Linked DNA regions of Coturnix japonica. The protein of the gene in region 3 interacts with the protein of the main gene of each other region in a pairwise test. Links are inferred from orthologs where the notes say so. Each region holds a gene or a part of one and is shown on either strand. Other genes may lie near its edges. The genes, in order: AGR3, FA2H and ERLIN1.

Region 1 (3,584 bases), on a different chromosome or scaffold from region 3:
CAGATGCCATTCTGTCAGACTGCCTCTCTGCTGCCATCCGTTGCATGGCAACAAAATGTAATAGAACACTGCCAGAAAGGTTTAGCTTCTACTGCCACACCACCAGCATCTGAGGTCTTTGATGTCATGGACCAACACAATAAAATAGGAAGCATTACTTTCAGAGCAGCCTTCATATATGTGTTTATGTGTGTGCATATATACCTTCTGTATTTTTTTTTTCCTCTGGTACAATACTGTTCACAAGTGATGCTATTTCAGCTAAATTTATATGAATATTTTAATAATTAGCTTTAATTTCCCTGCCAGCATGAAACCACAGATAAAAACCTGTCACCTGATGGACAATACGTGCCTCGAATCATGTTCATAGGTATGTACAGTACTTATGAATCTTCTGAAGATGTGATCTCTGAATCTGTGCCAGTGTTGTTCTCCAGAAACATCAAGACAAATCATTTTGCAAAAAGAAAATAGCCCAGAATTTATCTTTACCATGGCAAAAGTATGGAATTTGGCATACCTGAGTTTAGTTCTCATTCTATCACGGGCTTCAGCTCCTGTAAACTTCCTCAGATTATAAATATGTTCTGGAGGGTACCTCATTTGCACTTGGGAGCAAGGTGCTTAAATATCTGTTAGCATCTGGGCATCTGTCAGCCCCTGTTAGCTCCCTGTGCTTTTGCAAGCACAGTTAGGAAATGAAGTGTAGAGAGAGCTGTCAAATATGTGAATGAATGTCTACAGTGTCTACAGTGCAGACATTACCACAGAGCAAGTCAACAGTCAACAGAGTCTAAGAAATTATCTACTACACTGCAGAGTTGACTTCTGAAATATATTAAGTAAATCATGTCCCACAGTCCCTGTTCCTTTTCACCAATTACACAGGCATCAAAGGTAGGTGAGGTGAAGTCCCTGCTTAGAGCAAAGTAGTAAAAGGAGTCAGGTGATTAATTAACAGATAGCTTAGAAGGGGAACCAGTTCAGTAAGATATTTACAACCATTTTCTACACTAATAGAAACAATAAGAATCACAAGACCTTAGTTCTAGTCACCAGGTAAGCCACGATAACTTTGTATTAATTATGCATGACCCTCATTATTTGTGCATTCAGTCAAAATTAGCTCTCCCAGAGTAACCCCAGAACTTGTAAAACAGGATGGTTTTCTTCAAGTATGGAAAAAAAGGTATGTGCAATCAATCTCTTAAAAAAAGCTGTGTAATATAAAACTGAACATTAGTTTTTGTTTAAGATTTCTCCACATAAAAAGCAGTTGGTTGGAACAGAGCGTAACAGCCTTGTAGTTTGTGGTTGGCAAAATCAGAACACCTCAGGAACAGGGCGGTACTATGGGCATCACCCTCGGCTGCTGTGGGAAGCAGCGATTAACACAGTTTCTTTTTCAGACCCATCTCTCACAGTGAGAGCTGATATCACAGGAAGATACTCTAATCGACTGTACACTTATGAACCACAAGACATACCATTCTGTAAGTGCCTATTTTGTGCTGTTGCTCTGCATTTTACACTGTAATCAGCCAGATACACACCATCCCAATCGTCTGTGTTTGAGAATCAGTTAAGATCTCTAAGTAATGAGTAAAGAATGTTTGCCAGCACTTAACAATAATTTATAGTTGTCTAACCTGTTCTAGCAAACACTTAGGCACATCTATTGCTCCGCTGAATTTATTGGGTCTGCTTAGGTGAGGTGAGTTGAAAGATCACAGGTGAGAAATTTCAGGACCAAGATCTGAGCTGTTTGCTGGTGAATGGTGAAAGTCACTATGCACAAAGGAATCCAACTGCGCAATGTTAATAAGCAGTGACGGGAGGGGACCGGGAAAAAGAAATGCTTGTTAACCCATATTCCAAAAAGGAATGTGATTTTTCAGGTTGAACTAGTACTCTGTACCATCCATCTGAGACCCATGCAGTATCTCACAACAAATATGCATGTCACATCTGACTATTTTGCTGAAGCAAAAGGGATTTAAGAATATTCAACTCCTCAAGTTAAATGTTTTGATTTACAACTCTCTTTGCCTTCAGCTTTAGTATCAATGCCAGAATATTCACAATAGGAAGCACTAAAATATATAATCCTGCGTGAATTCCAGTGTGAAGAATGTACTAATCAAAATGTACTGTAAGAATATTTTACGGTTGTTACTCATTTTTGTTTCAGTAATAGAGAACATGAAGAAAGCACTACGCCTCATTCAGACAGAACTGTAATCAACAGTGAAATGATCATAACCTCTAGAAGGTGAAGCTGCACCAAGAATTCCAACACTTTTAAATATTTTATTTAGCCTCTTTCTCTGCTATCTCTTTGAATCCTTACCAACCAGGTAAACCAGATTACATGAGATGTATGATTTGAAGATGAAATATAGGAGGCTACCATTACCATTTGGGAAACAGAGAAGAAATCCACCAAACACTGTGAGGTGGAATTAGCAACCTGAATAATTAGAAGTGATGGTCTAAGATGCAAGCAACCTTGAGCTGTATATTATCAATTGAACTGTGGCTTTATTGTCAGCTACAACTTCCAATCAAGAGCTATAGACAGTACTTGATGTCTATTAACAATGCATGATCTAAGTTATTAGCTACTTCTTACCTCCTATATTTTATTTCATGTAGCTTGTAAATCTCTAGCATGACTCAGTTTTATGCATTTATTTCTCATTAAAGGAATATTGCTGGCAAATCAGACAGGAAGGCTCTTGCTGTAGATTTTAGAATAGCTAATAGAGAAAAAAACCCTCAGATCTAGGGTTTGCTTTCTTCTGTATCATTCTTTAGATATTATTCTTCTTTATCATTCTTCTTTACAGGAAGGGTAGTTAAACACTGGAATAGGCTCCCCAGGGAGGTGGTTGAGTCACCATCCCTGGATGTGTTTAAGAGCTGTTTGGATGCGGTGCTCAGAGATATGATTTAGCAGAGGGTTGTTAGGGTATTATGGTTAGGCTGCAGTTGGACTTAATGACCTTTGATGTCTCTTCCAACCTGAGTAATTCTATGATTCTGAGAGCTGAAAACAGAACATATTTCATGCTGAACATGGGGTTTCTGTGAGGTGATAGTCATCAAATAGCAACTACAGGTTTTGCCATGATAAAAATGCAGTGACGCAAAAGAGATGGAAGGAGATAATTCCAGAACTCCACACCTGAGGCTAGTCATGCTTGTAAAGACCAGTGTGGGAAAAACCAATAGGTTTTTCCTAGCTCTTTACTTTTAAGTGGCACTTTCAAATGGTTATTCCTTCTGTAGTTCCCAATACAAACATCATAGTAGAAGCATACTGAAGGAATCTGCATATACAAACTCTTTTTCTCAAAGTCTCTCAAGATCACCATATGGAAGGGTAAACAGCTATTTTAAGTAAAAAGTCTGAGTCAGTTGAAATAGTTGCCTATACCAATGACATGCTTCTTCACTATAGCAAAGTAGTAAGTCATTCATCTGGAGGAAGAGCAACAACATGATGTTCTGTGCAAGGCACAAACATTTATCTCCATTACCTGCCATTTCCTCTGATGTTGCCTAAACACATATGTGAA
Region 2 (2,670 bases), on a different chromosome or scaffold from region 3:
CTCCAAGCTCATCCTCCAGCATTAGCAAAGGGCAAGGATACCCGAATGGAGCAGAAGCATTGCAGCTCACCTTGTGGTGCTGCCCGTGCAGCAAGAAATGCAGGGTGATGAGATAGTAGTTACTAGCGGGTGGCTTCATGTGGAAGACAAAGCGATGGATGAGGTACTCTAGCAGGGACCACAGGAACATCCCCAGGAGGAAGATGAAGGGGAAGTAGTATTTGTGCACGGGGATGGAGTACTCTACACAATGAGACATGCAGCAGTCAGCGAGGCTGGTGGGATGCACGTGCTTCTATCCATCGCCATCCTGATGTCAGCCACTGGGTGAAGCTCACCTCTCCCCACACTTCTGTTTGGTTCCCCTTAATTTGTGCTATTTGGTGGAGTAGCTGATGCCAGCTGGGGCTGTAACTATGTCCCTACAGAGCAGCTTTTCCCACCCAAACACGCAGTGCGACCCAACAGACACAGGCAGCGCTTGTGGCAGCAGAACAGAGTCGCTGCTGTGTTGTTGTTTGGCAGAGCACGCAGCTGTCGGGTGCTTTCCCCCCCGCAGCGCATTTTTCCACCACCTCCTCCTTTTGGTGCCAGCAAACCCTGCATCCTCCCGCACAAAATTCCCCCAAACCAAAGCACTGAGACAATGGGGAGGAAAACACCCTCAGGGCAGTGAGGTGCCCAGTGTGCCACACATCACTCTGCATGGGGAGCCAGGAAGCATGTTTGGGAATGCCAAAGAGATGGAAAAAGAATGCGGAGGAACAAAAGGATGGATTTATTCTAGCTGGACGGGAGGCAGGGAACCCAGAACATCAAAACCTGCTCTGATTTTGGGCCGAGCAGCGCAGCTGGCACAGGGTGGCACCCGCAGCAGGGCCAACAACAAAGCTGTCACCCGGCCGCCCGCTGCCCGCTGTGGGGCTGCACACAGTGGTGGATTCAGGGGGGGGGTTCTGGGTGAACAAGCCGTGCTCTGTGCGAGGCCGGTGGTGTGAGAGCCGTGTTTGTTCAGCCATCCCCAGTGTCAGGGCAGTGGGTGGCAGCGTGGAGGGACGCAGCCATTGGTGAGCAGCAGGGCTTCGTTTTGGGTATGGAGGAAGGGAGGCAGCTCGGGGCTGTGTCCTGTTCTGTGCCCTCCACCCTCTGGGGCAGCAGCTCTCCCTATGAACAAACCCACCATCCTTCCCTATGGACAGGCAGGGGAGCAAGGCAAGCTCAGCCAGCACGGGTGGCTTCGTGCAGGGGACATGCTGGGGGCTGCAAGGGTTGGGGGCTGCCCATGCTCATGCAGGTGTGCGCTGAGGGCTGGGGATGGGTGGTACCTGTGGTGAAGGAGGAGAAGAGCCTGGTGTTGCCCTGCGCCAGGGCTGTGTAGCTGACCCAGCTGAGGTAGAGCACCACGGGGGTCCACACCAGGAACACCACGTACCTACAGAGAGAGGGGATCCGTCAGGGGGGCAGACCCACACATCTACAAGTCCACCCCCCCACACCCCAGGATGCTCACCACGCCGTCTTGGAGAGAGCCTCAACAAAATCCGAGTGGAAGAGGCGGATGGGCCGATCCACAGGCTGGTGCACCCACTCGTCGTACTTCTCCCCCAGGTAGCCCACCTGCCACAGCAAGGGCTTCCGCCAGTCCACCAGGTCCTGGGGGCACAGGGCTGTTCGTTAGGTCCCTCAGGGTTCCCATCCCACAGTACCCACAATCTGGGGGGATGCATGGGATCATTAAGGCTGGGAAAGGCCTCAGGTCCCCAAGTCCAACCCACCCCACTATGCCCACTGCCTGCATCCCTCAGTGCCGCATCCCCACGGCTCTGGGACGCCTCCAGGGACGGAGACTTCCCCCCCTTTCTGTGCCACTGCTTGTGGGGTCTGGGTAGGGATGGATGTGGTTACCCAGCGGGGTAACAACCCCAGCATGCATGGGAATGAATACAGATGCCCCACACCAACAGGATGTGAGAGCAAAACGCCATTTTGGGATGCACCCAAAGGAAAGATCCTTTCTTAAAGGCAATCGGTGGCAAAACATTCATAGGGAATGAAGGGTTTCCTGCTGGTCAAATAAAGTCCCTTGGCAAGACAAAGGCTGGTGCTCCCCAAAGAGCACTTGGCACAGCAGCCATGTGGTTCAGTGAGAGGCACCCAAAGGCACCGTGGGACAGGGAGAAACTGTGGGACATGGAGCTCAGCCTGCCCGGCAGGACATCCCTTACAGCTCAGCCAAAAGGGAAAAACAAATCATAAACGAATAGAAATAAAGAAATCAAGGGTGTGAGGTGCAGCTCAGCAGCATGTCCTGCTTTAAGGGCAAAGCTGCTGTCAAAGGAAGGCATCAGCGCCCACATAGGAGCCGCCCAGAGCAGCCGCGCCTGGGCCATAAAGGCACTGCTGCGCCATCTGCGTGGGGCGAAGGGCAGAGCGCGGCCTCACCGTGCCCACGTCCACTGGCTTGCAGCGCGGATCCAGCCGTGGGGCTGCAGCGTCCAAAGGCTTCTCCACCTTGGGGCAGCTCTGCAACAAGAAGGAAGGAAGGTTTGGGGCTGCTGAGGAACCACAAGGTGATCACAGTTTGATAAAGACCGTCAAGATGGTCTTGTCCAGCTGCTCAACTACCACCAACAGCGCCTGCTAATCACGTCCCTATGAACCACATCCACG
Region 3 (3,753 bases):
TCCCTTTATACCTTGTGAAGGGATCAACAGAACAGGATCTGCAAGCCAACTCAGCTTGCTCTCCTTCTTGCTTTGCTTGCTTCAACAGTATAAGAATCAACTATTAAGCAGGCAAGTGCCACCCCTGGTAGGCTGCTGCTTTATTCTGACATACTCTCTCTAAGTCAGGTGAAATGCTGATTCCAGAAAATGCCTCAGGAATTGCGGGAAACTTATTTCTTGAGCTGTTGTTGTCATCTCCCACCAGGAGGAAGGGCTTCTGTTTGCCATTTACTTTTGCCCACTGCTGGAATCAGCACTTGTATTCACCACAAGCTTCTGTGTAGAAATATGTAAAGCAAAAGGCAGACAAAAGCAGACCAGTGGGTGAGCAGAGAAATGCAAGGAAGAAAACAAGGTAAATTGGGAGGTCATCAGTGTAAATGAAAACATGAATTCCAGCAAGTGCACTCAATCCCACACCTCCTGCTTGATTTCCAAGTGGAATGAATGCATTTATGCTTGGAACTAATTTTACGCTTTTACTTTTCAGCCTCTTCATCACAGCACTATAAACAATTAATGTAAACTATGCAAGAGAATACATCTACTCGTCACCAAAAGAAATACAATGAGAAAACATACCTCGTCCCACAAGGCACATTTTTTACTTCATCAGTCTGCAAAGTGGTCTGAAATAAAGATAACCAATGCTCAGAAACACACACCATTCTTCAGGCAGACTGTGTTCAACCCCTCAAAACCATAACAGAGGCACAGAGAAACAAACTGCATCCTCTGCCTCCCTCCCTACAGTTGTAGGTGCAAGCAGGAAATGGTCTTCATCCTAACTGCAGTCTAGGAGAGACAATGGCAGCCGTGCTCATTTCCCTGCTCTTACTTCCTGAAGCTTTCCTAGGAATCTAGACAGATCGTACCCTTGAGTGAGGCATCCTCCTGCTCCAAATGAAACTGTGCAAGTTCTCATGCAGCAAAGCACCCAACGGCCCAACAAACACTGACGTTTTGCACGGGGCAGCAGTTAAGAGACACTGACCTGCACAGATCTGAATGTGGTGATGAAGGGCAACATGATGTGGTAGCCTGGTCCACTTGGACTAGTTAACAATGCACCACCCCTAAAGAGTAGAGATAAAAACATTGAAGCAAATGGAAAATACTACATGCAGGCTTTGAGAGAAAACAATCAAAATGCCAGGAGTCATGTTTGTGTTAGTGTGAATTGCACAATACACCTGCTCCATATTTGCTGCATCAAAGAGTCACTTCAGGCCTGTAACCTCCTTCACTACAGTGCCAGAGAGAAGTCTATCTTGAGCATTCAGCACAGCCCCTTAACTTGAAGAGCAATGATCTGCAGTCCCTTGTGTGGTCAGACAACTCATTCTAAGTTGGAAACAGAGGAGAACTCCAAGCAAGCAGTGCTCAACATCCTGCAAAGGCCCATATTGTTCAACACACTCATAATTACAGGGAAAAAAACAGCACAAGGGGATTCCCATTCACAGAATCACAGAATCACCCAGGTTGGAAGGGACCTCAAGGATCATGTAGTTCCAAGCCCCCTGCCTAGCAGGGCCACCAAACATACACATTCACTAGATCAGGTTGCCCAGGGCCCCAAAATGGGGAATGTGAAGTGTAGAAAAGAAATTAAATGGCATAAGTGACCCAAAGATTCAGAAAAGCTGGCAGAAAAAAAGCTTGTAGAGGCTGAATTTCTCGTTCCTTTATTAAAATTTGAAGAGGAAGCATCCAGCAACTGCCCTCTCTCTTTCTATAGAGTTTGTTCAGGGCAGCTGCAAGCTCCCAGAGCCACTGGGCCAGGCTGGTGTCCAGCTGTCCTGGGACAGGGCAACAGCACTGCGGTGAGAGCAACGAAGCTGCAGGCAGGACCAGGGTACGGGCTTCACGCTTTTAGATCCCAGTCACGAGCAGGAAATTACTTTGTACAGAGGTAGGAAAATCAGCAGGGAGCTCAGAAGGACTGAGGGCTACAATGGCTCAGTACCGTGGCTTATAGGTGCGGGAAAGCAGCAATAACTCACCCTGCCCACCTGAGGGCAGGGAACAATCCCCTCCCAGGGCTCTCAGAGGGCTGCGAGCCTCATCAGTCACAAAGAGCTGCGGATGCCCTTCCAGTAAGGAACGCTACCTGTAGTACACGGCCAGGTGCCCCTCCTCAACCCTGTGGATGGAGGCGTACAGGAAGAAGACGAGGACTCCCGTAGCGGCCGCCACCAGCGCTCCGGCCTGGGCCATGGTCATTCTCTCAGCACCTGTGAGACAAAGTCCTGAGGGCGGCCGGGAGGCGGCTCCCTTCCTTCCCCTTCCTAAAGGGGGACGGGAACTCTCGGCCTTCACACCGCAGCCCCGGCGCCGCACAGGCCTGACCCGTGCCCACCTCACCAACCCCTCCTTCAGACACAGAGCCCGCACTCACCTGGCGGGCCGGCCCCGGGAGGCCCTCGGCTGCCTTACGCCCGCCCCGCCGGGCTCCGAGCGGCCGGAACAGCCCGGAACGAACAACACCGCGCCCTACCGACACAGCAGGCCCCACGGCCGGCCCGCCCCTCCCACGTGCGGCACAGGCCCAGAGCCGAGCGGCGCCCTGTGATGACATCACACGACTCCCACCACAGCCTACGAACCGCGTTTATTAACGATAAAAATCTGCTTAGAATTAAAATACACACGTCTGTACATTACAACGACCCGCCGCACCCCCAGCCTCCTCTCGGCCTCTGCTACAGGGCCCGATAGGGCGGCACAGGGCCCATGTCCCCAGCACAGCAGTAGGCGCAGCCCCGGGCCATGCAGGCCCTGCCACACAGAGCGCTCGCTATGAAGGCACAAGGAGGCCGCAGTCTGTAACACAGTTAGTGCTGGTTGCATGTATCCACTGCTGGGCACAGCCTGGGTACCCGCATGTCCAAACCAAGAGGCAATGGGGCTGCAGCCAGCTGTCTGCACACAGCAGCACAGCTCCCGGGCCTACTTCAGCCAGCTCCAGTCCAGGTTCTGAAAGAGCAAGGAAAAAAAGCAACTTAGAGGTGGAGACCATGGGATGAGATGCGGGAGGTGACAGAGAGGTAAGAATAATGAGTAGAAAGCCAGTCAGAGCTTCCTCCTCCTCTCAGCAATAGCAACTTCTGCTAATGAGTTTTATTCACTGTTTTCACTGAATTCATCCTGAGTAACTTAGCAACTCCAACCTAAATCCTCCCTCTTTCAACTTAAAACCATTTCCCCCTTGTCCTGCTATTATCGGCCCTTTCAAAGAGTTTACTCCCCTCCTGATTATAAGGTACCCTTCAGGTATTGAAAGGCTGCAATGAGGTCACCCCACAGCCTTCTTTGCTCCAGGCTGAACAAGCCCAGCTCCCTCAACCTGTCTTCACATGAGAGTTGCTCCAGCCCCCTGATCATCTTCCTGTCCCTCCTCTGGACCCTTTCCAACAGCTCCATGCCTTCCTTGTACTGAGGGCTTCATACCTGGACACAATACTCCAGATGGTGCCTCACAAGAGCAGATCAACAGTTGTAACTTTTTTATCCCATAAGAATGGATGCTAACCCTCGAAAGACACTGTAAGTAGCTTCTGAAAATAAAAGTTAGAGCATATCGGTGGATCTCACTTCCTCAGAGATCCTTGATTTCCCTACAGGACTGCACTAATTTACAAAATAAACTGAGGCAATCTCAAGCTGGCAGAAGCTGTATTGACTCTTCCCTTTATAAAAAGGTCAGTC

What was found.
Region 1: the proteins of ERLIN1 (region 3) and AGR3 interact in binary tests that used the Homo sapiens proteins (3 or more experiments, as listed by UniProt). The two-hybrid records come from large-scale screens. The link is inferred for Coturnix japonica from reciprocal best matches to the Homo sapiens genes ERLIN1 and AGR3.
Region 2: the proteins of ERLIN1 (region 3) and FA2H interact in binary tests that used the Homo sapiens proteins (3 or more experiments, as listed by UniProt). The two-hybrid records come from large-scale screens. The link is inferred for Coturnix japonica from reciprocal best matches to the Homo sapiens genes ERLIN1 and FA2H.

The regions. Positions count from the first base shown.
Region 1 is NC_029517.1:26,241,203-26,244,786, reverse strand, and holds the end of AGR3 (anterior gradient protein 3), read left to right. Parts: intron 1-309; coding exon 310-373; intron 374-1,412; coding exon 1,413-1,496; intron 1,497-2,194; coding exon 2,195-2,244; 3' UTR 2,245-2,956; downstream 2,957-3,584. UniProt on the Homo sapiens protein: Required for calcium-mediated regulation of ciliary beat frequency and mucociliary clearance in the airway. Might be involved in the regulation of intracellular calcium in tracheal epithelial cells.
Region 2 is NC_029526.1:762,462-765,131, reverse strand, and holds part of FA2H (fatty acid 2-hydroxylase), read right to left. Parts: intron 2,524-2,670; coding exon 2,443-2,523; intron 1,654-2,442; coding exon 1,511-1,653; intron 1,433-1,510; coding exon 1,326-1,432; intron 244-1,325; coding exon 71-243; intron 1-70. UniProt on the Homo sapiens protein: Catalyzes the hydroxylation of free fatty acids at the C-2 position to produce 2-hydroxy fatty acids, which are building blocks of sphingolipids and glycosphingolipids common in neural tissue and epidermis.
Region 3 is NC_029521.1:5,997,745-6,001,497, forward strand, and holds the start of ERLIN1 (erlin-1), read right to left. Parts: upstream 2,573-3,753; 5' UTR 2,444-2,572; intron 2,280-2,443; 5' UTR 2,269-2,279; coding exon 2,156-2,268; intron 1,119-2,155; coding exon 1,037-1,118; intron 672-1,036; coding exon 625-671; intron 1-624. Other genes in the region: CHUK (inhibitor of nuclear factor kappa-B kinase subunit alpha), read right to left, coding at 2,995-3,021. UniProt on the Homo sapiens protein: Component of the ERLIN1/ERLIN2 complex which mediates the endoplasmic reticulum-associated degradation (ERAD) of inositol 1,4,5-trisphosphate receptors (IP3Rs).